Linked DNA regions of Callithrix jacchus. The protein of the gene in region 6 interacts with the protein of the main gene of each other region in a pairwise test. Links are inferred from orthologs where the notes say so. Each region holds a gene or a part of one and is shown on either strand. Other genes may lie near its edges. The genes, in order: CCHCR1, CLIC3, CCDC120, CACNB4, LONRF1, EFHC2 and PLOD3.

The links.
Region 1: the proteins of EFHC2 (region 6) and CCHCR1 interact in binary tests that used the Homo sapiens proteins (3 or more experiments, as listed by UniProt). The link is inferred for Callithrix jacchus from reciprocal best matches to the Homo sapiens genes EFHC2 and CCHCR1.
Region 2: the proteins of EFHC2 (region 6) and CLIC3 interact in binary tests that used the Homo sapiens proteins (3 or more experiments, as listed by UniProt). The two-hybrid records come from large-scale screens. The link is inferred for Callithrix jacchus from reciprocal best matches to the Homo sapiens genes EFHC2 and CLIC3.
Region 3: the proteins of EFHC2 (region 6) and CCDC120 interact in binary tests that used the Homo sapiens proteins (3 or more experiments, as listed by UniProt). The link is inferred for Callithrix jacchus from reciprocal best matches to the Homo sapiens genes EFHC2 and CCDC120.
Region 4: the proteins of EFHC2 (region 6) and CACNB4 interact in binary tests that used the Homo sapiens proteins (3 or more experiments, as listed by UniProt). The two-hybrid records come from large-scale screens. The link is inferred for Callithrix jacchus from reciprocal best matches to the Homo sapiens genes EFHC2 and CACNB4.
Region 5: the proteins of EFHC2 (region 6) and LONRF1 interact in binary tests that used the Homo sapiens proteins (3 or more experiments, as listed by UniProt). The two-hybrid records come from large-scale screens. The link is inferred for Callithrix jacchus from reciprocal best matches to the Homo sapiens genes EFHC2 and LONRF1.
Region 7: the proteins of EFHC2 (region 6) and PLOD3 interact in binary tests that used the Homo sapiens proteins (3 or more experiments, as listed by UniProt). The link is inferred for Callithrix jacchus from reciprocal best matches to the Homo sapiens genes EFHC2 and PLOD3.

The regions. Positions count from the first base shown.
Region 1 is NC_133505.1:35,974,947-35,978,446, forward strand, and holds part of CCHCR1 (coiled-coil alpha-helical rod protein 1), read right to left. Parts: intron 3,107-3,500; coding exon 2,803-3,106; exon of another isoform or gene 2,769-2,802; coding exon of another isoform or gene 2,739-2,768; intron 1-2,738. UniProt on the Homo sapiens protein: May be a regulator of keratinocyte proliferation or differentiation.
Region 2 is NC_133502.1:185,421,645-185,425,389, forward strand, and holds CLIC3 (chloride intracellular channel protein 3), read right to left. Parts: upstream 2,424-3,745; 5' UTR 2,403-2,423; coding exon 2,370-2,402; intron 1,631-2,369; coding exon 1,521-1,630; intron 1,442-1,520; coding exon 1,316-1,441; intron 1,165-1,315; coding exon 804-1,164; intron 706-803; coding exon 547-705; 3' UTR 501-546; downstream 1-500. UniProt on the Homo sapiens protein: In the soluble state, catalyzes glutaredoxin-like thiol disulfide exchange reactions with reduced glutathione as electron donor.
Region 3 is NC_133524.1:49,616,954-49,619,522, reverse strand, and holds the end of CCDC120 (coiled-coil domain-containing protein 120), read right to left. Parts: coding exon 2,323-2,569; intron 1,873-2,322; coding exon 1,758-1,872; 3' UTR 501-1,757; downstream 1-500. UniProt on the Homo sapiens protein: Centriolar protein required for centriole subdistal appendage assembly and microtubule anchoring in interphase cells. Together with CCDC68, cooperate with subdistal appendage components ODF2, NIN and CEP170 for hierarchical subdistal appendage assembly.
Region 4 is NC_133507.1:78,277,142-78,281,159, reverse strand, and holds the start of CACNB4 (voltage-dependent L-type calcium channel subunit beta-4), read right to left. Parts: upstream 2,801-4,018; 5' UTR 2,514-2,800; coding exon 2,451-2,513; intron 2,383-2,450; exon of another isoform or gene 2,148-2,382; coding exon of another isoform or gene 2,139-2,147; intron 1,913-2,138; coding exon 1,829-1,912; intron 1-1,828. UniProt on the Homo sapiens protein: The beta subunit of voltage-dependent calcium channels contributes to the function of the calcium channel by increasing peak calcium current, shifting the voltage dependencies of activation and inactivation, modulating G protein inhibition and controlling the alpha-1 subunit membrane targeting.
Region 5 is NC_133514.1:29,029,242-29,032,741, forward strand, and holds part of LONRF1 (LON peptidase N-terminal domain and RING finger protein 1), read left to right. Parts: intron 1-1,638; coding exon 1,639-1,791; intron 1,792-3,500.
Region 6 is NC_133524.1:45,133,493-45,136,388, reverse strand, and holds the end of EFHC2 (EF-hand domain-containing family member C2), read left to right. Parts: intron 1-1,880; coding exon 1,881-1,982; 3' UTR 1,983-2,396; downstream 2,397-2,896. UniProt on the Homo sapiens protein: Microtubule inner protein (MIP) part of the dynein-decorated doublet microtubules (DMTs) in cilia axoneme, which is required for motile cilia beating.
Region 7 is NC_133503.1:12,545,564-12,549,063, reverse strand, and holds part of PLOD3 (multifunctional procollagen lysine hydroxylase and glycosyltransferase LH3), read right to left. Parts: intron 2,581-3,500; coding exon 2,483-2,580; intron 2,327-2,482; coding exon 2,225-2,326; intron 2,048-2,224; coding exon 1,922-2,047; intron 1,763-1,921; coding exon 1,641-1,762; intron 1,335-1,640; coding exon 1,230-1,334; intron 1,101-1,229; coding exon 975-1,100; intron 1-974. UniProt on the Homo sapiens protein: Multifunctional enzyme that catalyzes a series of essential post-translational modifications on Lys residues in procollagen. Plays a redundant role in catalyzing the formation of hydroxylysine residues in -Xaa-Lys-Gly- sequences in collagens.

The DNA.
Region 1 (3,500 bases), on a different chromosome or scaffold from region 6:
AAAAAAAAAAAAGGAAAAAAAATTTTTTTAATTTCTTTTTTTTTGTTTCTGGAGATAGAGTTTTACTTCATTGCCCAGGCTGGATCTCAGCTCACTGCAAACGCTGCCTCCCAGGTTCAAGCGATTCTCCTGCCTCAGCCTCCCAAGTAGCTGGGATTATAGGCATGAGCCACCACATCTGGCTAATTTTTATATTTTTAGTAGAGATGAGGTTTCACCATGTTGGCCAGGCTAGTCTCAAACTCCTGACTTCAAGTGATCTACCCATTTTGGCTTCCCAAAGTGCTGGGATTACAGGTGTGAGCCACCGTGCCAGGCCCTAACTTATTTTATAAAATAGACACGGGGATCTCACTTCGTTGCCCAGGCTAGTCTCAAACTACTGGGCTCAAGTGATCCTTTGGCCTTGTCCTCCCTAAGTGTTAGGATTATAGATATGAGCCACTGTGCCCAGCCTGCTCATTACTCTTCTTTTTTTTTTTTGAGACAGAGTTTTGCTCTTGTTACCCAGACTGGAGTGCAATGGCACGATCTCGGCTCACCGCAACCTCTGCCTTCTGGGTTCAAGCAATTCTCCTGCCTCAGCCTCCCGAGTAGCTGGGACTACAGGCGCATACCACCATGCCCAGCTAATTTTTGTATTTTTAGTAGAGACAGAGTTTCACCTTGTTGACCAGGATGGTCTCGATCTCTCACCTCGTGATCCACCCGCCTCGGCCTCCCAAAGTGCTGGGATTATAGGCCTGAGCCACCATGCCCGGCCGCCTGCTCATTACTCTTAAGGGAAAGTATCAAGTTCTGAACTGACCAAGGCCTTGCACCCTGGGTCCTGTGCTCTGCAACACACTCAGGGCCCTTTATCTCTGTGCTCCAGCCTTCTAGCCTCCTCCTGTCCCCATCTCCATCTGCTGTCCTGCTGAGTGTCCACCAGCTACCATTGCACCCCACACACCTCTTCACTGGCCAACTCCTTATTCAGCACAAATGGTAGCTTGTTGTTTTTTCAGTCTTGCTCTGCTGCCCAGTCTGGAGAGTAGTGATCTCACCTCATCCTAACATCTGCCTCCTGGGTTTACGCAATTCTCCTGCCTCAGCCTCCCAAGAAGATGGGGGATTACAGGCACCTGCCACCATACCTGGCTAATTTTTGTATTTTTTGTAGAGACTGGGTATCGTCATGTTGGTCAGACTGGTCTCGAGTTCCTGGCCTTAAGTGGTTTACCCGCCTTGGCCTCCCAAAGTGCTGGGATTAGAGGCATGAGCCACCGTGCCTGGCCTAACTTCTTATTGCTAAGTTTCTTTCATGAATCTCCTTTGTCCATTTTCTGATTGGACTGCTGGTCTTTCCGTTACCAAATTCTATACACACATTATATATTAGGGATAGTACCCTTTTCTTGTAATCTGAGCTATAAATATAGCTTTTTTTTTTTTTTTTTGCTATTCGTAATGTTCATGTTATAAAGTCGATGAGTCAATCTTTTCCTTTATGGCTTCAAGATTTTGGATTTTGACTCATAGGTAGAAAGGCCTTGTACACTACAAGGTTATAAGGAATTTAATTCTCCCTTGTTTTCTCCCAGTTCCTTTATGGTTTCTTTATTTTTTTATTTTTTTGAGATGGAGTCTAGCTCTGTTGCCCTGGCTGGAGTGCAGTGGAATGATCTTGGCTGACTACAAACTCTACCTCCCAGGTTTAAGTGATTCTCCTGCCTCAGCCTCCCGAGCAGCTGGGATTACAGGCACGCACCACCATATCCAGCTGATTTTTGTATTTTTATTTTTTGAGACCGTGTTTCACTCTTGTTACCCAGGCTGGAGTGCAATGGCGCGATCTCGGCTCACTGCAACCTCCACCTCCTGGGTTCAGGCAATTCTCCTGCCTCAGCCTCCTGAGTAGCTGGGATTACAGGCATGCACCATCGTGCCCAACTAATTTTTTGCATTTTTAGTAGAGACGGGGTTTCACCATGTTGACCAGGATGGTCTCGATCTCTTGACCTCGTGATCCACCCACCTTGGCCTCCCAAAGTACTGGGATTACAGGTGTGAGCCACCGCGCCCGGCCCAATTTTTGTATTTTTAGTAGAGACAGGGTTTTGCCATGTTGGCCAGGCTGGTCTCAAACTCCAGACCTTGTGATCCACGCACTTCAGCCTCCCAAAATGCTGGAATTACAGGCGTGAGCCACCCATGCCCAGCCCTATGGTTACTTTTCTTGACATGCCGACAGGTTAGTGGCCTTCCCTGAACCCCAGACCAAGTTAGCGCTCTCTAGTCCTTCTTCAAGGCACTCCCCCAATTGCAATTACTTATGATTAAATTAAATATAGACGAGTGTATCCCCCACAAGGCTGTCAGCTCCATCCATGAAAGCAGGACTCAGGCTAATTTGGTCACTAAGTCTCATAGATGGCAAAGAGTAAGCACTGTGGACTGAATAATCTCTATCCCAGTCCACCACAGCCTCCTTACCCACCTTCCACACTGCCCTCCACAATACCCCCAATGAATTGGTACCTGCAGTAAAGTAGGGAGGCAAATTACTTCCTACTAGAAAGGAAAGGAGGGCTTCAAGTGGTGGGAGGCCACCTGAGTCTTGGGGGAAAAGTAGAATCTGAATTAAGATCAAAGCACCCAAGTTCTCCATCTCTCTAGGCCATGTGTGTTTCCTTTCACCAAAAGGTCTCATCATTCCACTGCTTACTACTCATGGCGGGGGGTCTTTTCTGCAATACCTGCTTGGAAGCTACTGCCCAGCTCTCCATTATGAATTTGAATCCTTTCCACCTCTGGATTCACCTGCTCTTGGTGCAGTCTCTGAGCCTCTTCCAGCTCCCGCTGGCTCCCCTCTTCCAAGTTCTTCCGGATAACCTCAGCCCCAGCCAAAGCTGCACGTAGGCCCTCAGCCTCGGCTCGGCCAGCCTTCTCCGCCCGTGCCAGAGCCTCCAGCTCCATGGCCTGGGCCTCTAGCCTCATCTTCTGCTGCAGTGAGGTCTCTCGCAGGAGCTGGACCTCCTCCTCTAGCCGCCGCAGCTCTTGCAGCTGACGAGAGATCAGCTCAGCCTGCTGGCTCAGGGCCTGTGACCCGTCCAACTCCCGGCACCTTCAAAGACAGGTTAGTGCAGATGAAACTTGTCTCCAGAGATGGAAGGATAGTTGAGAGCATAAACATAGTCAGGAGAAGCAAAAGACCCCTCTGCACTCATGTTGGGAGGTGAAGGGGGTGCTGAAGCTGGGGCATGGGGATGTCTGCACTTACACCATCATCATTCATCAAAGCCCTATTGAGCATGTTAAGTCCAGTGCCTGGACTCACAGGACCTAAGGTCTGGCTGAGATCATGAAACATGATCTCTCTAGAGAGCGCCACATACAGGCAGATTCAACATCAAATGTGTGTACCATTAGGCCACCACATTCTTTTTGTTTTTTGGTGTTTGTCTTATTTATTGTTTTATTTTTTAGGCCACATATTTTAAGTGGAAAAGTTGGACGAA
Region 2 (3,745 bases), on a different chromosome or scaffold from region 6:
AGCCCAGGAGCCGAGAGGGGCACAGCCAGGCGGGGTCCGGGTCCGCAAGGCTTAGAACTCTGTTCCCACCCTCCCAGGCCACACCCAGGCAAGGCACAGAGTCCTGTAGGAGATGCCCACAGAACGTCCTGTGCAGATCCCAGACCTCCAAGATGCTGTGGAAGTGGCCCTGTGGGGAGGGGAGCGCCTGACCCTGGGACAAGATTGAGGAATGTAGCCAGCCCCCATCCACCTGGGGCACCCCGCCCCACCCCGGCCTGACTGGTTTGGGAGCCCAATCCGGTCCTGGTGATCCCTGAGGCCACCTGTTGCAGGAGACCTGGAGTCTGTGCACTTCTTAGCGTGGGGGATGGGACCCGCCCGATCCTGGCTCTCCTGCCCCTGTGGTTCTGGGCTATTCAGCTGAGTGTCCCACCATGGGGTTTGGGGTTGGGAAGCACCCCCAACTGGGGGCAGTGATCATGGGGCCTCTGGCTCCTCAGATGACAGGACACGCTCACTTCGGACAGAGATGCCTTTATCAGGCGGCAGGGGTGGGGCGGGGCGCTAGCGGGGGTGCACGGCGGGCCGGTAGGCGGCCAGTATCTCGGCGCTATGCGGACACGTGTACTTGAACTCCTTCTCCTGCAGCGCGCTGTCAAGGTAGTGGCGGACTCCCCGCAGCTCTGCGGGGATTGGCGCCTGGCGGAAGTGCGCGCACACGGTCTGTGGGCGGGTGGGGGTGGGGGGGGGCGCGGTCAGGACCTGCTGTTCCCAGCGTCCCGGGCCCCCTGGCGCTCGTCCTCCCCGCCCCCGCTGCTCACGTCGACGATGTTCAGCTTGGGCAGCAGGCTGCAGTCCGCCAGCGTGAGCCGGTCGCCGTCCAGGAATCGGCGGCGGGACTCGCGCAGCTGCGGCTCCAGCGCCAGCTCATGCTCCAGGGGTGCGCGCAGGTAGCTGTCCAGCCTGGCGAGGGCGCGCAGTAGCTGCTGGTACAGGGCTGGGGGCGGCGGCGCAGTGAGGACCCCGCCCAGGGCGCCCTCCCGCCTGCGCATCCAGCCCCTTGACCTCGCCTCACCTTCGTCCTGCGCCGGCACCGGGTTCTTGATGAACACGGAAAACTTGTGGAAAATGTCATTGCCGGCGGTGTTGGCCTCCCTGTACCGAGGGGCCAGGCTGGGGAAGCTGCGGGGATGTCGGGGTGAGAGACTCCATCAGACTGGCCGCAGCCCTGTCCTGGCCCCACAGTACCCCGAAGCGCTTTCCTGGGCTCTGTCCTGGGCGTGACCTCCCTGGGTCCTCCCCCTTAGTCCCCCCACCCTGCTCTGTCTCTCACTCGGGCGGCCCCAGCGTCTCCTCCAGAAAGTCCTGGATCTGCAGCGTGTCTGTCTTGGCCTCGCTGTCACAGAGCAGGATGGGCAACTGCGAGCCAGGGGCGAAGTCCTTCAGCACGTCTGGGGACCTGTGGGCAGCAGCGGGGTGGGAGGAGGCTGGCCCACTGGTGTGTGAGGCCAGGTAGGCGTCCCCAGGATGGGCCTCACCTGCGAGTGTCCACAGTGGTGAGAGTGAAGGGTACGCCCTTGAGGAGCAGGACCATGAAGAGCCGCTGGCAGGAGGGGCAGTGCCCCACGCTCTCCCCGTCCTCACTTGCCTGGGTGGGTGGAATGGGGGTCAGGGCTGGGAGCAGACCCAGGCATCCTGCCACCAGGCTGGGTGGGACCTGCCTCCCACTGCCAGCGGGACTGGAGGGACGCCAGGGCTCCAGCTTGGTCGGTGTGACTTCCAAGTGCCCAGTGAGGGCCCTTGACTGGGTCCCTAGGACGTGGGGAGGGACACAGAGCTGCTGGGAGCTTGGAGGCCTGGGGCGGGCCTGGGCCCTGGAGTCTTAGCAGAGCCTGGGCAGAGGTCCCAAAAGCTGGCTACAGGGGTGGGGTGGGCCCCACAAGCTGTTTTCTGAGTGATTCACCCACCAGACTGGGCACTGTGGCTGGCAGCTCATCAGCCCCCGCCCTGGTCCCTGATCTGAGAGCTGAGGGCCTGCCTGGCCCAGCACCCCGCATCCTGGAACACCCACCTACAGCTCCTGGCAGGCTCCACCACTGGCAGCCTGGTTGGCACCTTCCCACCAAGGGGCCCTCCCCCAGGAGACTGGGCTGGAAACAGGACCAAGGCCGCTGGACCCCTCTCTGGGTGACTCTCTGGGTCCTTCTTCCCCTGGCTGTCCCACTTTACACTTTACTTAGCCTCTGTAGGGCTGAGTCCCCTTAGCCACCCACAGGAAGGGGTCAGACATTACTGGGGAGGCCCAACCCCCAGCCTGTCCCAGAAAGCAAAACCCAGAAGAGTATCCGCTCCCAGACACCCTCCCTACAGCTCAGTTTGCCCTGCACCTTGACAAACAGCTGGAGCTTGGTCTCTGCCATGGTGGGAGCTGCCGCGGTCAGGCGCGGGTGGAGACCTGGGGAGCTTTTTATATCTCTCTGTGAGCCCCGCCCTCCCTGGCCTAGGGGCCCGCCCCGTGGAGCCACCTAGGCGGGCAGATGAAGCTGCCCAGGGTTCAGAGCCGGTTGTCTGAGCAACGCCAGCCTGACCCTGGGGTGTCTGAGCCTGAGGGTGTGACCTCTGGGGGAATGATGTAGGGGGCTGCCCTGTACCTGAGGCTGATGCACACCCAGAGGTCCGCCCACCTGGCACTGAGTGTGCTGGGAGCCGGCGTGATGGATGGAAACCAGTGGGCGGGGCATGGGGAGAGCCTACAGACCAGAAGGGTGTAGGGGGTATCACCTGGGGAGGGGTGGCTTTGTTTCAGGACCACCCCCACCATGAACCCAAATCAGGACCTACCCTATGGCTGTTCCCTGGGCAAATACTCCTGGTCAGGGCCCCTAGCCCAGAAAGCCGGGGGTGGGGTGGGCAGGAGAAATGACCCGACCAGCCTAGCTTCTTCAGTTTCCCGGTCTGCAGCATCAAGGCATTGCAGGGATGATAAGCCCACCTGGAGGAGCCGCCCCTTCCCACTGACTGAGTTGTCAGGCAGGCCCTCGCCACTCAGGGTGGGGCTCGAATTCCAGACCTGCCTGCAACAGGGCGGGGGGTGGGGGGACAGCCTGGCTTTGGTGTTTGGCTGGCAGTGCAGGTCTCCACCCCACCTCCTGTCCCGCCCACTGGCACTCAGCGCAGGTTTCTTACCCCCACCCCTTAATCTTTTAAAAGAAGCAGCTGGAGGGGGTTAGAAGCCACAGGCTGCATGGCTGGAAGCAAGAGGCCAGAGGAGGTTGGTGGGCCGCAGGTGTGAGTCTGCTCTGGGCCTCCTGGTGTGACTGGAACCCACAGGTCAGTCTGGCCCTTTGGGGTCACCAGCTGTGCCTCCTGATGCTTTGGGGGGAAGCCCCAGGGAGGTACCCCAAGGGGAGACCCCACCCAGAGGCCAGGCGCCCCACAGGATTGGCCTGGCCACACTTTCCCCGGAGGTGTGGTGCCCCAGTGAGCCTGGACAGGGTGGTTGTGGTGGCATGGCTCACCTGCTCACCTCCCTAGGGCTTTGGTACAGGCCCCACCCTGTCCCCACGACCGCACTCCAGTGCTGTCCCAGCCAGCCCAGTCTGACCCCTCTGGATTCCACGATGGTCGGGGCTCAGTGCCATGGAGCCCTGGAAATACCATGTGGCTCCCCCATCGTTTGTCATCCTGAGCCCCAGCTCCCTGCAGAGCCTCAGTTTCCCTCCATTCTGCCTCCACCTCGATTGCAAGCCCTAGTTTTTCTCGA
Region 3 (2,569 bases), about 4.5 Mb from region 6:
AGTGTGACGGCACGTGACAGTAGTCCCAGCTACTTGGGAGGCTGAAGCAGGTGAATTTGCTTGAACCAGGGAGTCAGAGATTGCAGTCAGCTGAGATTTTGCCACTGCACTCCAGCCTGGCAACAGAGCAAGAGTCAAGAAAGAAAGAAGGAAGGAAGGAAGGGAGGGGGAGAGAGAGAAAGAAAGGAGGAAAGAAAAGCAAGAAGGAAAGAAAGGAAAGAGAAAGAAAAAATTTAAAAGTATAGGGAGGTTAAGAACAGAGAATCTTTATTATCATCATTTATATTATATTACCAAGAGTTATTATTTGAGGTTGGCTAGAAATCTGAGTGCAGACAGGCAAAGAAGTTGCCCCACATCACAAAGCAAGTAAAGTCAAAACAGACGACACTATCACAGGCTATTCCCAAGGTATGTTTTTTCCTGTAAAAATATATTATCTGGTCTTGACTAAAGGTGTGGGCCCTCAAGGCAAGGCAGACAGAGCAGCAACACATGGGTTCAGTTTACACATTTATTATAGAAATCCCCTTCCAGTGTGGGTAATGTCTTGGGCCCAGATCCATTGGTACAAAAAGAAAAGTTTAACACCAGGAAAAGGGGGTAGGGGAACCCCCAGCTCCAGAAAGTCACAGACAGGTATCATAGAAAACACAACTTGTGTGAGTTTGCTTAAAAAGTGGTAGATGGGGGCTGGGCACAGTGTCTCACACCTGTAATCCCAGCACTTTGGGAGACTGAGGTGGGCAGATCACGAGGTCAAGGGTTCGAGACCAGCCTGGCCAACATGGTGAAACCCTGTCTCTACAAAGAAAACAAAAATCAGCCGGGCGTGGTGGCATGTACCTGTAATCCCAGCTACTCAGGCAGCTGAGGCAGGAGAATTTCTTGAACCCAGGAGGCGGAGGTTGCAGTGAGCCAAGACCGTGCCACTAAACTCCAGTCTGGATGACAGGGCAAGACTCCACCCCACAAAAAAACAATAAGTGGTGGATGGAAGGAAAGCCAAGGAAGGTGTGAGTGGCCCGTGGCCTGTGGCCAGACCTCACCTGAGGATTTTACTGGCATCTACTGGATGCCAGGTTCAACCCCACAGCATCCCAGGACACAGCACACATATAGCCCTTTGCCCCTCCTGTGGGGTCTCCTGACTAGGGGTGGTCAGGATAGAGGCTTTGGGCACAGATGGAACTGGGCTTCTTCAGGCATCCCACCCAGACTGTAGTCCTTCCAAGTGTGGGCAGAGAGCTCACTGCCCCACTAACGCCCTGGCAATGGGTGGCAGGGACTTCTGTTCACACCAGAGTCTCCTGGCTGCCCTAAATGGCCCTGAGACCCGATATGGTCCATTTTATGGAGGGGGTTCCTGAATGGAACCTGGTTGGGCATGGGAATAGGAATGAACCCAACCAGATGAGATCACAGTTTCCCTTTTATAAAACGCCTAGTGTTGGAGGAAGACAGTGAATACCTAAGTTACAACTGTAAACAGAAATGGAGGAAGGGGCTTGGGGTCCCCATGACATCATCCCCTCTCTTTTAAGCTGGCTGAAGGCCCCCAGTCCCCAGTACAGTGTGAGAGAAGCAGGGTGTCAGACACCTTCCTGGGCCCACAGGAAGCCAGAGGCCTTGGAAGGTAAGGTTGGCACACTCCGCTCAGGACTGAGAGCAACCACATCCCAGGGCCCATCGAGGTCAGCTGTGTGCTCCCCAGACTGGAATCGTGCCCAGGCCAACAAGGGGCATATCAGAAGGGGTCAGACCAGCGTCCCTGGGGTCTGGGTGTCAGAACTGGAGGACTGCTCCCCCTCTAGCGTCAGGTCACTTAAACGAGCGCTCAGCTCCGGGGGATACAGGAAGTCCGCGTAGTATCTTTAGAAGGGTAGCAGGAATCCGGAGGACAGGGCGGAGAAGACAAGAAGAGAGGAAAAGGCAGACAAGACAAAGAAAGAGAAAGGAAGAGGCTCGTTAAAGAGGTGGAGGCAGGCATAGGACAGCAATTTCAGGCTCTGGGGCAAGGAGAGAAAAGGAAGAGAATGGCAAGGGGCATAGATGTCCCTTCCTCCCAGCACCCTGCGTCAAGGCTCATCTTCAGCCTATAACTTGATAAAGAACTGCTGCTACCAGCGCCCAAGATCCCCTCCACCAGGACCCCATGGACTAATGCAGATCATGTGCAGCAGAGTGACCCTATGCCATCGCGGCAGCTAGTTTCCTCATGGTCCAATTCATTAGCAATCATGACTAGCCATTCCCTGGCCTGGATATATTCACCATCTGCCTTAAGAGACCCCTACCCATCAGTAAAAGCACCCCCCATACCTGCCAGAGACAGGGGGTGCCGTGAAACTCCTCGAGTGTGGGAGTGGCGCCTGGCTGGGGGCCCCGTACAGCGCCTGGCCCACTTCATAGCAGCGGGCATGGAGAAAGGTTGGGTGTGACGGGCCCGCAGAGGGGAGCACAGGCCGGCGCTGGGGCCCCGCAGCCAGTCCTGAGTTCCGGATGTACCAGTCCCGCAGCCCCTCCAGGGCCAGGTTCTTGTGGCCACTGCGTTCACCAGCTGAAGGGA
Region 4 (4,018 bases), on a different chromosome or scaffold from region 6:
TTTTGTGCCAAAAAATAAAAAGATTGTACATATAACATAATTACAATTAACTCCTGAATTTAAATTAGAACATTGAATCAAACCAATGAATCCCCATTTCATACAGATTTATGAAATATGTTTATTCTAAAACATCTACTTTGCTTTAAATTATTCCCAAAATTATTTATCACATAATATGTTTTACATTTTTTAAGCCAGCACATAGCAGCACACACTTCACACGAACTTATATGTACATTATCTCAATCAGTTGTGGGCATAAATTGAGAAAAGAATAAGAATATTAGAATATTATTTTGTTTCTGCTTAGGAGGAAGAATAAAGCATTAGTGCAGTTATGTACATGAACTCCAAAGTTCTAGTCAAACAGCTTATGGAATGAACTGCTGTATAATTAGTATTTCCAAGAATTTGCAACAATAAAACACCACTAAAAATAGGCACCTACAAAATAAACACCAGCAAGACCTCAAACAATTGCATAACAGAAAAATGTGCCTTATCAAATACATAATCTAAGTACTACAAAGGGGATAGAATGCATTTTAAGAATGAGATAGAAATCCAAAATGCATTTATTTCAATAATGTATATGCTTAGTGGTCACTAAATTAAAGGGTAGTCAAAATTTCTGCTTCTGCAGAAAGTGAAATTCTGCATAAAAATATCATCTAACTGTGCTTTATAGACCCTTTTAGAAGAGGTCTGAGTCCAATTTTGAGGCTAAAGTCCATTCCTCGTTGATATGATTAAATTGATGATAATCACTAAAGATACACCACAGCTGCCATCATAGGTTAGAAACACATTACACAATACCGAGTAACCTAGAGGGAAAAGAACTTCTCAAGGTCACCCTGGCAGCCCACAGGAAGACCTGGGATAAAAGCTTCTTGGTGCCATGACCAATGTCTTCCTAGGTCACCCGAAACCTAGGACACACCCCGACAATTTCTGTTCCAAAGAAAGATCAAGGTGACTCACTTTCGCATGATCTCTCTAGCACCCAGCAGCCAGGGGTGGTTTCATTAACCGCACACGAACAGTTGGAAAACTGAGGACCAATTTCCTGTGTCAAGGTGAAAGGCACCTAAGCCTTCAGCGTTACCAACGATCCCGAGATCCCGAGCACAGACAACTCTCACTGGAACCACGCAGGAGAAAGCAAGCACTAAGAAAACAGACACGAAGTGAAGGCGCACCCAGACCCCGGGAGCTGAGTGCTGGCCTTCGTTAATTCCTACTTAACCAGATACGGCTGTCTTTCCCTTATTAAGCGAATCCAAGAATCGGTCCCAAAGTGAGAGTAAACTTTCTGCTCAAAGTGTCTTTCTTGTGACCGGAGCTCGGCTATCTCTCCAAGATCCAGACAAATAAGAGTATTCAAATTAGGACAAAATAGAAGAAACCACTAAGTCTCAACTCGAATCAAACCAGGTCCCCGGAGCCGAAGGGTCTGGTTACTCTAGGTCGAGTTACACGACGTAAAGACGTTTCTCCAGGCACCAAAGGTGCAACCAGACATATTTCCAGCTCTTTAATTCAACGTCCCTGACTTAAGCCAGGTCCCCTCCGAACTGTCCACACACATGCACAAACTAACTTCCCAGGGCGGTGCGGCGCCGGGACACGAAGACTTCAAGAGCCTGGGCTAGAGGGAGAGGGAGAGGGAGAGGGACGGAGCCCCAGCACCCGCCGAGGCCGGGAAGAGACGCACGCGGACTCGACCCAGAGCTCCTGCACGTGGTGGCCACCATCGGCTCCAGGACTCCGCGCCACACGCTCGGCCTCCTCCCCATCCTGCTCTCCCGCCTCCTTCTCGTACCTGTCTGAGGATGAAGCTGGTCGAAGTGGTGCTGCCATCGGATCTTTTCAACCTGCTCCTCCGGGTTGTGGTGCCTCGGGCCACCTGGACTCGACACACGGGGCCAGAGAGAAGCCAGTGAGGACCGCAGCGCGGAGCAGGGCGACCATCCCTGGCTGGAGTCCGCCTCCGGACCCGCTCCCCGGGGTCCCCTAGAGCCCGCACCCAAGTCTCCTTCGCGACTCCCAAATACAGCCCCCACCCCCACCCACCCACTCCAAGCCTCGACGGCAGAGAAGATGCCCGAGAAGTGCAGCCCGCAAGCACCCACCACATCCATTAACAAAGACTGTCAGGGTGCGGGGTCCGAATCCCCGGCATCGGCTTGGGGAGGCTGCGGGCTCCGGAGCGGGAGCGCAGAGACCCGAAGGAGGCTGAGGAGGAGGAGGAAGAGGAGAAGGAGGAGAAAGAGGAGGAGCGGGAGGAGAAAGGGACGTGGAGGAGGGGTAGGGGAGCGGGGCCGCCGACTCCCGGGACTGGGGCCCCGCACGCCCGGCACGAAGGCGGGGCGCGCTAGGGCGGCGGAGGAGGTGTGAGGAAGGAAGAGAAGGAAGAGGAGGAGGGGGGGAGGAGGGGGCGGTACCTGCGAGGTGGGGGAGTGCGGCCCGTCCGCGGTCCCGTTCTTGGCGTAGGAGGAGGAGGACATCGTTCAGAGCCACCGCATGGCCCGCCCGTGCGCGGTGGGCGGAGGGCGCTGGCCCCCGAGGCTGGGCTGCGAGCAGAGGGGGAGGGCACAGGACTTCCCCACCCGGCTCCAGGACCCGCGCCGGCGCCCAGGCTCCCTGCCTGCACTTCGGAGAGCGCGGCACCTTAAAGGGACCGAGGCGCTTCCCCCGCGCCCGTGGCTGGGTCCCGGGGAGGGGGCTTCTCGGAAACTCGCCTACCCCAGCCGACTGGGAGAAGCGCTCTCCCACCTAGCGAGCGCTTTACATCAGAGCTTCCAGAGGATGAAGGGAGGGGGAAATCTGGGATGGGGGTGGCAGGATTAAAATAGTCTGCACAGTTTAAAATGAGACAAAGGTGGCACGGTTCATGAATCAGGACTTGGGGAGGGAAGCTGGTGCAGTGTGGCGGGAGTGGGAAGAACCGGGCGGCTGTGTGTGTGTGTTTGCTGCACTGGAATTTTAAAAGGGCAAGAGCAGAGCCACCTTCCGCGACTTCACTCAACAGCCTACTGTGGTAAGGCATGGGGTTTTGTGGCTAGCTTTTCCTGCGTGTTTTTGTATTGCTTTGGCAATTCTGTCCTTAGAGCTGCGAGTCACACACATCCAGGCAGCCGTGCGAAACCCAACCAGCCCGAGTCTGACGGAAGATGCTGCCCCGCCAAAGACCAGCCTGTCCTAAGGAGTTTTGAAGGTCATTTTAGATCTGCTAAGAAGCAAGAGTTGGTCACTGTGCCTCCCATTTCTATGCGGATGGATGTTTTCAAGGGGAGAAACTCATCCTTGCAACCATACACAACGTTTGCCGCTGGTTTCCTCCTGCAAATACATACAAGAGATTAATTTGTGATCAAATTAAAAGAGAGGGATGCGGAGAAGAGGAGTAAGTGTGAGGTACTGTAGAGAGGAATAAGAAGAGGGAAGAAAAATATATGCAAATTCAAAAATAAAGAGATTCTGTTTAAATTAACATATACATACCCTCTCAAATCGCTAAATCAGCCCATCTAAGCTTGCATTCTAGGACTTTATAGACACAACTATCATGCTTGTTTTAACAATTGCTTGGCTTTATTGAGGTCCCAATTATAGCTTACCATCCACCAGACACTTCCTTTCCATTCCTAATACCTTCACTTAATCCAAACTTCTGTAACAATCTTATAACCAGTGTTTTTGCCTCCAGACTTCCTAGTGCATGGCATGTGCGTATACACACGCAGAGATTTTATTCCATTTACACACTACAGGCAAAACCATTTTCGTGAAATCTCTTGCCCAAGTCACTCTTCTCTAAGATTAAACTCCAAACTCCCTGGTCCAACATCCCAGCCTCCCCTGCATTTCTGATCACTCTCCATCTCATTTCTCCATCTTGATCTTTTTTATACAAACCTTCCAGCAAGCTGGCAGATCTACTCATTACCCAAGCATTCCAAATGCAATCCTACCTTAAATGCCTCCCTGGAATATGCCCTCCCACCAACCT
Region 5 (3,500 bases), on a different chromosome or scaffold from region 6:
GTATTATAGATTTGATGTTTATAAACTCGAGTCCTCTTTATGGTCCTAGGAATGACCGGTAATTTTTCATCATAATGTCTTAATCTATATAGTGATTTTCTTGTCCATTCTGGAAAAACTTCTCAAATTTGTTTTTTATAGCAAATTTTCTTATTCTTATAATGATTCTGTTTTCTGTGTTTTCTAATGAAATTTTAAGTTCTGTTAAAAATTATTACAGTAAAGTTTGCTTTTAAAGTTTCTGCCTGCTTTTTGACCAGCTCCATTTTTCATTATATACTCTTATAATTGTTATCATTCTTTATTTATTAGAGCCTGTCATTTGTTTTCTTGAATTTTGTGAGGGTGCAAAGCACATGCTTAAAAAAAAAAAAAAAAGACTGAACAAGGCATAAGCTTATTTCTTGCTTCTATCAAGTTCAATGTATGTCAGCAAGGGCCAGAATCCTATATTGGCATTCCAAGACCAAAATTATTCAATTATATGGCCCCTCTACATTAAAAAAAAAATTATTTGTATTGTGGTAAAATATATATAAAATTTACCATTTGAATCATCTTTAAGTGCACAGTTCAGTGGCATTAAGTACATTCATATAGCTTTGCGAAAAGGAGACGCTCTTTAAGCTTTAGTTTTAATTTTCATTTCAAATCTTTCAAAAGTAAAAAGTATTTTTTTTTTGTCTCTTGTGTGCTGTAGTCCTATTTTTATATTTCAAAATGTTTTCGGAGTTTCTTTGTTGTTTTTATATGAGTCATCCTTGAAGTATGAAAGACTGAGTCAGGCCTGGTATTTGTTCGGATGAGTTTGTGTATATGAGAGCGAGCACAACCTGGCACATAGCAAGTGGGATGTAAGTGTGCATTAAAGAAATCAATATAAGATGGAGGAGTTAAACTTAGATCTTCCTACCTGTGTTCTCTGAGATGACTCTTCTATCTCAAGGTAGAAGACTGATGCAGTTAATTTTACATTTGCAGTTTAGTGACCCAGTAGTCTAAAGAATATACTGAGGGGGTTCCAGAGGTAGCTGTAGCCTTGGGCATTTAGAGCAGAAGTTCATCATTGTGTAATTACCTCTCTCACTTACTGGCTTTATATGCTAAGTTATTTGTTGTAGCTTTTTGTTTGTTGTTGTGCTTTGACCCAGTTTCCTAGTAAAAGATGTAACTGGGCGTGAACTCCTCCTGTTACTACTTTCTGTCATGTCATCTGCACCCTAATCACTCATCTTTTCTTTTTTTGTAGCAACTATCATCCACTTTTTTGTTCCACTGCTTTCAAAAGCCATTGATTCGTAAAGACAAAAGGAATTCCAAATTAGTGTAGACCTTTGAACCAAAATTCACTTTCAGTCTTAGTCCTCCCACTTGGGGGCTGTCAGTAGGGTTCTGCAATACTGCACTGCTAAGTCAGTGAGATGAGGCATAGGTCAGGCCTTGCTGGCTTTCTTTAGTATGGTCAGTTAGCCCTGTATGAGGCAGAAATATGTATTATAGCATAGGAATAATACTCTCTGGGAGGTCAGCACTGAAACAGGTATTGCCCTGTTGTTCTGATGCCTTTTTCCATTTGTGTCAGTTGGCATATGGATGGGGGATTAGACACAGAAGTCTTACTGACTGTTGTATTTCTAGGTTGAGAATGAAGATGAGATTAAGAATCTCAGAGAGCTTCATGATTTGGTCTACTCTCAAGCCTGCAGCTGGTTTCAGAATTTACGAGACAGATTTCGAAGCCAAATTCTTCAGCACTTTGGATCAATGCCCGAGAGGGAAGAAAACCTTCAGGTATGGTGGCTTTTCTGTTCCCCCAAAGTCAGGTCGATGTAAACCCAAATTTGCAGACTTTGACATTTTCATTTTTTTATTGTCCTTTCTGTACTACATTTTCTTTGACCGCCCCCTGCTCCCATCCCCACCTCATCTTTAGAATCATGAGTTCTCTAGAGTAGTGGTATCTAGTGCATTCCATACAAGTAGAGGCTGGAAATAGGTGTCAGCTGAGATGCCTGTAGGAGAGAGTGCCAGAGAGGGAGGAAGTCCTTAAGAGGACTTTTAGGAGGGGTAAGGAATTAAAAATGGGATGTTACTATCTAGAAACTGTGACTGTGAGACAACTATGCCTTCAAACCCATCACCTGTTGCTGTCATTCTTTGAGAGCAGAGAGATTTACAATTTTCTATACATTTAAAAATCTTTTCTCATTTTTCTGTCTCCCAACATTTGACCCCACGACTTACTCATTTTTGCCTCTTCATGTTTAATACTTCGCTTCTTATGAAACTGTTATTCTTTTAGTCTTGCTGATACTTAGGGTTTACACTTAAGCTTAGTCTAATGAATGTGTATCTGGAACTTTCTGTGCAAGCAAAACTGCAAGAGGCATAAAAGAAGGGTCTGGCTCCTGGAAAATATGATCATAGACTCATTAAAGCATTGCGTTTTAGGCATAAGTATTTTTGAATTTAAATGTTTTTGGTCAGAAGGTGATAGATTGTACAAAGGAATGGCTGTCAGTAAATATGTGAAGATGGAGAAATAATAGATCTCATTGTAATGCACACTGCCTCATTCCCATTTTTAAGGGTTAGTCTGCATCTGTCTGAATCCCAATTGAATCCTTCACCTGAACTTGAAACACCAACATAGGCCATCTCCACATTTAGTATTCATTCTGTTTAGTATATTATCAGTTGTTATCTATTTGTTTTAACTGATTACTTGAATCTGATTAAACGTCACAGAAATAGGCTTTGATAAGAACAATATTGAATAAGAAATTTCACATGATAAAAAAACAGCTTATAGAAAAATTCAATATAACTTTCCCATCACCTTCACCACCCTTGCCTTTTATTATCCTGTCCTCTATCACTGCTTTCTGTTAGCGATGTTGCGTGAGTTAGGATTCGGGCAGGAAAGCAAAAGCAGCCACCCTGCGTATTCCTGGGATGAAGGTTTTGATGTAGGTTGCGGACTTTATAGAGTAGTTGGGGAAGCTGTGGGGGGGAAGGTCAGGGATTTCACCTGCAGAAGTCAGGGAATTTGCCACCAGAGATTCAGGAACAGCCAACAGGGTACTTCTGAAGAACTAGTGGGGAAGTGGCTATGATTCTTAGGAATCCCAGTAAGTCCCCACTACTACCTTAGCAGTGGAGGTAGGGGTTTCCAGGAGCTCTCTGGAAAGCTGCTGCTCATACTTTGCAACAATCTTCATACTTTGCAACAATCTTCCGAGGATACTGGCTTCTCTTCCAGCTTCTACACCCTACAAGAGTGCCTTTCATTGGCCAACCCTAACCTGGAACCCTATGGCAGAGGGGATTCTAGGAGACAGTTTCTAACATCTCTGGAATGCAGAAGAGAAGGTAGTGACGCTTAGCTGACAGCAGACAATACATGAATGTAGAAACTGAATCTGATTCTGAAGGGAGCCTACTGAGATCAGCACTGATGTCCTAGCTCCTTTTGTCATTCTGAAGCTTTATATTTTAAG
Region 6 (2,896 bases):
CGGGGACACAATTCAACCTATAGCACTACACCTTTCTTTTGTCACCATTTCAAACTGATCCCCTTCTAGCTATTTCACGTTCTCCTGCAGCAGCTTCTCTCAGAGGTAGCTCCTGTTCTCCATGCCTGCTTCAGCTGCCCTGGTTATGGCACCGTCATCTTTTCGTGGTATTATTACACTCACCTCCAGATTGATTTTCTTACTGCATTTCATTCTCTGTACATCCAGCAAGTTAGCTCATCGGTTTCTAATCAGATTGCTGTCATTTCCCTGGCCAAGACCTATCAGTGACTTCCCCTAACCACAGCCTCAAGTATAAACTAGCACAGAAGGTCAGAAGTTCGGCCCCAGCTTCTCCTTCTAACCATCTCTCTTGCCACTTTGTACCATGTGCCACAAACCACACTGCTCTACTCACCCTTTCTTTAAAATAGTTTTTAGATCTCTAGGCCTTTGCTTATGCTTTTCCCTATGCCTGGAACATCCTTCACTACCCTTAACCCTCTGCTGAACTGCTTTGTGTCCCATAAGGTCCAACTGAAACACCACTTAATCAGCTGGCTTCCAAAATTCTATCACATCAAATAATTGAGCCTTTACCTATGTGTCTGACACCTTGTGATTCTGGATACTAATATTAATATACATATATACAACAATTAATCTTGACAGTCATATTTCAATCTTGACAGTAGAAATATAAGCAACTGTATGTACGGACTTTGCCTCCTGTTGATATTAATTAACTATTGCAGCATACGCAAAGAGTTTGTGTGTATATATACACACATATGTATTACATATTATAGAAAATGTGCATCTGTGTGTGCATGTGTATGCACACATAAAGTGGCTTATCTTCAGGATCATACTGTGAGTGATCCAGCGTTCTTTTCAATGTTTCCTGAAGAAACAGTAACCAAGCAACATATAGCTAATAGTTTGTATTTTAAAAATTGGGTTCTTTAGATGGCAGTTCATGCCTGTAATCCCAGCACTTTGGGAGACTGAGGTGGATGGATAACTGGAAGCCAGGAGTTCAAGACCAGACCAGTCTGGCCTGTATGGGGAAACCCATCTCTCCTAAAAATACAAAACTTAGCCAGGCATGGTGCCGTGTGACTGTAATTCCAGCTACTCGGGAGGCTGAGGCACGAGAATCACTTGAACCCAGGAGGCGGAGGTTGCAGTGAGCCAAGGTTGCACCACTGCACTCCAGCCTGGTGCCTGGTGACAGAGTGAGACTCTGTCTAAAAAAAAAAAAAAAAGAAAAAAAGAAAAAAAAGAAAGTATGGGAGGAGCTATCACTGTAACAATGCCGAATAACAACTCCTTAAATTTCAGTGGTTCACAAGACACATTTCTTTTCTTGTCTGTGGGCATGTAGGTCAGTCAAGCATGGGTGGATTCAGCTGAGCTTGGCTCTTAGTCTACAAGTCCAGCCTGGTCTGATCTACCTTGGTCATTCTAAGAACAGCAGCGTCCCAGGCCATGTTCTTCTTATGGTGATGGCAGAGGCACGGAAGGCCAAGCCAAATGATGCCAGCACGCTGGAGCCTCTGTTCATGATATGTCTGCTTACAGTACATAGGTCAAAGCTAGTCATGTGGCCCACCCCATATCAAAGGAACAGGAAAATACACTCTTCTTACTCCACGGGAGGTCCTAGAGTCACATGACAAAGAGTGTGGGTGCATAATTCTTATACAGGCAGGCAATGAAGAATCAAGAACAAGTATCCAGTCTACCACAAAGTCCTTATGAACCTAAAGTAGATGGTACAAATTTTCACTTTGAATATAAACTGTTTGGTGTTGAATTTGCAAAACTGTACTTGGAAATGTGGCTCTAATCGTATCCATTTTTGTTTTTTTTTCTAGAGATGTGAGGATGTTTGGCTTGGGATGTCATCACCTATTCCTGCAAAAAACATTGACTACTTAACCTTTTTGAAGGATACGTTTGGCTTAGAGGAGGAATAACCATGCCAGTTTTGGTCAATTCTTTTTGATTTACTTCTCTAATTTTGCCACATTTACTTTAGTAGATATAATTTCATTAAAAACAAAAAAGAAACAAGGTTTATATTGAATGGGAATCCGTAAACCACAATGAATCTTATTTTGTCATGTTAGATTTTCAGGACACCATATTATATTGCTGATGTACTAGTACTATTTAAAATGCCATTTTGAAACATGTTGAGTATTTTTATTATATGTATGATTTATTAATACCAAAAATCTTCTGATAGTTTCTCATCAAACATAATTTGATTCATGACTATATGAATGGAAAGTGAATTTTGATGGTTATACATGACAATATAAAATGAAATTATATCACAGAAATAAGTTGTGATTCTATTAAACATTTCTGAAATCTTTTTGACATGTTTATTACTTATATAATTAAGTTTTCTGGCAACTCACCTCATCAAAATAGTTCTTAAACCTTTCTAGAGTAAATATGTTTATCTTTTGAACTTAGTAAAGCTATGGAAAGAAAAAACCTCCCCTCGACACACACACATACTTGGGAAACAAATGGGAACATATGCAGTATTTATATTTTTAATACCCTTTTTTTAACTAAAGTCATCTTCTTAGCTTAGGAATATATGCATGTGTATATAATTATAGTATGGCCAAAATTTATTATGTCTAAAATATTTAGGAATGTGAATGCTGAAGATTTTGAGATTTTTTTTTTTTTTTGGTTTGTTTTATACACACATCCCACCCACCCCACCCTAGAGGTTTACATATTCAGAAACTACAACATTTCCCCCACTGCATTTTTCTAGTTCTATTTTTATTTTTCTTCAATGGAACTCTTGTCATATACTGTACATTTGATTAAAACCCATAGCCATGTACTTCTGGGAATTCAGTGT
Region 7 (3,500 bases), on a different chromosome or scaffold from region 6:
ACTCAAAATACAAAAATCAGCCAGGCATGGTGGCGTGCGCCTGTAATCCCAGCTACTCAGGAGGCTGAGGCAGGAGAATCACTTGAACCCAGGAGGTGAAGGTTGCAATGAGCTGAGATCACACCACTGCACTTCAGCCTGGGTGACAAAGCAAGACTTCATCTCAAAAACAAAAAAAAGGCCAGGCACACTGGCTCACGCCTGTAATCCCAGCACTTTGGGAGGCTGAGGCGGGTGGATCACGAGGTCAAGACATCGAGACCATCCTGGCCCATATGGTGAAACTCCGTCTCTATTAAAAATACAAAAATTAGCTGGGCATGGTGGTGTGTGCCTGTAATCCCAGCTACTCAGGAGGCTGAGGCAGGAGAATTGCTTGAACCCAGGAGGCGGAGGTTGCAGGGAGCCGAGATCACGCCATTGCACTCCAGCCTGGCGATAGAGCAAGACTCCATCTCAAAAAGAAAAAAAAAAACAGATGGGCTTTCATCATGTTGGCCAGGCTGGTCTGGAACTCCTGATCTCAAGTGATTTGCCCGCCTCAGCCTCCCAAAGTGCTGGGATTACAGGATTGAGCCACCAGGCCTGGCCTTTGTTTTTTCTTTTCTTGAGACAGGGTCTCCCCGTTTCCAGGTTGGAGTGCAGTGGTGCAAACATGGCTCACTGCAGCCTCAACCTCCCAAGCTCAAGTGATCCTCCCACCTCAGCCTCTGTAGTAGTAGCTGGGACTAGAGGCTCTCACTACCATGCCCAGCTAATACTTTAAATTTTTTGTAGAGATAAGATTTTGCTATATTGACCAGGCTGATCTCACCAGGCTCAAGCAGTCCTCATACCTTGGCTTCCCAAAGTAGTGGGATCACAGGTGTGAGCCACTGCACCCGGCCTCATGGCACCTCTGACTGGTGACTAGGAGGCTTGGGTCTACCCAGGCCCTGGGTCAGAAGAGGGGGCTGCAGGCTGGCGGGACTCACACTCGCTTTCTCTGCACCAGCTCCACGTAGTCCTCAGAGCGGGCGTAGTACTCGTCAGGGCTCAGGGCACCCCAGAAGTTGGACCACAGCTTGCCGTGGCGGGACAGCATGGGGGCAATCACCTTCCTGTGGACAGGCGAGGGTGAGGGCTGGGTGGAAGAGAGCAGGCCTGGGGAGCCCAGTGCCCAGGGCAGGAGTGGGGTTCCCGGGGCCTGTTGGGGTGCCCCCCGGCTGCAGGGAAAGAGGGCAAGCCACCTGTTCTCCTCAATGAGGATGCGCAGGGTCTGTGGGTTGGTGAGGACAGCATCAGCGTCCAGGCTGAAGTAGAACTCGCACTCGGGGTCCTGCCGACACATGTCCCTGGAGGTGAGAGCTGAGCTCAAACAGCAGCAGGCAGGGAGGCAGGTGGGGATGGGGAATTGGCCCCACCCCAGGAGAAGAGGAGGGAGGCAGCATCTGGCCTTCTTTCCCCAGGCTCTCCGCTGTCTGGGTGAGCTAGCAAGGGTGGGGAGGGGATGTGACAGCGTGGGAACTGCAAGGATGCGAGTGGAGAAGCCTGGGAGGAGCTGGAAGGGTGATAGGTGAGGCGAGGGCCAGGCAGCGGGTGGCAGCCACCCCCACCCTGCACCCTCATCCTGCCCTCCTCCCTGCCCAGTGCCTGCTCACATGGCCATGTCCCTGGCCTCGCCTGGGCTCAGAGCCTCCTCTGGCCCCACCAGCTTCGTGGCTGCAAAGTGTTCCTGGAGCTGCGGCCAGGAGTCAGCGATGTGAGGCTCATGGAAGACCTCCTGGGGAGGGGTTGACATGGGGGACGGGCTCAGAGGGCAAGGAGGCGGCCCTTGAGGGATGGGGGTGCAGGTAGGCTATGGGGGTGGGGGCACGGGAGTGCTGATTAGGGCAGGGGAAGGGTCCTTTGGGAGAGGCTTTGGGGGGCGGGGGGGTCTCACGTTATTGTGCAGGAAAAGGGTGATCCTGTCGTGGGGATAGTCTAAGAGCAGCAGCCGCTGCAGGAAGCTGGGCAGAAATGGGGTAGGCTGTTCCACAAACACGGCCAGAAACACCCGGGGGGGAGGCTGGAAGATGCGACACGAAGGTGCTCAGAGGGAAGCCTGGACTTCCCGCCGCCCCCACCCACCCTCCACCCTGCCAGCTTCGGGGACTCAGGGGCATTGCCCCCACCAACACCCAGCCCACTGTCCTTGCACCTCCTGCTCAGCATGCTGCCTTCTTTCCCGGCACCCCTGCCTCACCTGCCCCCCCGGGAGTGTCCTCCGGTCCCGGTTGCAGAAGCCACAGCCTCCCTCGGGAGTCCAGCCATTGGGGACATAGTTTCCCAGGTAGTTGAGCTGCAGCTGTTGGGGAGAGACAGAGGCTGAGTGGCTGAGGCCTCCAGGGTGGAGGTGGGGCACCTCTGCTGTGGGAGCTGGGGAGGGCCGGCTTCTCAGAAGGGTTGGAGATGCCCAGGGGTTGGGGCAGGGCAGGGCAGGGGTTGAAGCCACTGGTGGCACCTTAGTAGGACCATTTCCATGGACCACAACGGGGAGCGTGTCGTAGGCCACGTTCCGTATACGCACACGGTTCCGATCAAACTTTAAAACCACTTCATCTGGGGAAGAAAAAGGCCAGGATTCAGACCCCCTTTCTCTGGGAGCTGCCGAGCAACACGTTCTTCTAAATATGGGGTCCCAAATTCTCCAGGGATAAAGGGACACTGGGACTATCCTGGAGTGTGGCTTGTGGGGGGCAGGAACCTTCGAGTTCTGACCAGGCTGCTGGCTCAGAGAGCTCCACTGACTACCTGCCTGAGCATATCGAAGCCGCTGGGTGAGGAAGGGCAGGATGAACTGAGCTGGGTGCCACTGGGAACCTCAGCATCCCTATCCCTCTTCATGTTCTCTCTCATTTTTTTTTTTTGAGACGGAGTCTTGCTCAGTCACCCAGGCTGGAGTGCAATGGCGCCATCTCAGCTCACTGCAACCTCCACCTCCTGGGTTCAAGAGATTCTCCATCCTCAGCTTCCTGAATAGTTGGGATTACAGGCGTGTGCCACCATGCCCTGCTAATTTTTGTATTTTTAATAGAGAAGAGGTTTCGCCATGTTGGCCAGGCTGGTCTTGAACTCCTGACCTCAGGTGATGATCCACTTGCCTTGGCCTCCCAAAGTGCTGGGATTACAGGCATGAGCTGTCGCACCCAGCCTAATTTTTGTATTTTTAGTAGAGACAGGGTTTCATTATGTTGGCTAGGCTGGTCCTGAACTCCTGACTTCATGATTTGCCTGCCTCGGCCTCCCAAAGTGCTGGGATTACAGGCATGAGTCACCGTGTTCAGCCTCCTTGCTTTTTTTTTTTTTGAGACAGAGTCTCGCTCTGTCACCAGGCTGGAGTACAGTGGCATGACCTCAGCTCACTGCAACATCTGCCTCCCAGGTTCCAGTGATTCTCCTGCCTCAGCCTCCTGAGTGGCTGGAATTACAGGTGGCTGCCAACATGCCTGGCTAATTTTTGTACTGTTTTTTAGTAAAGA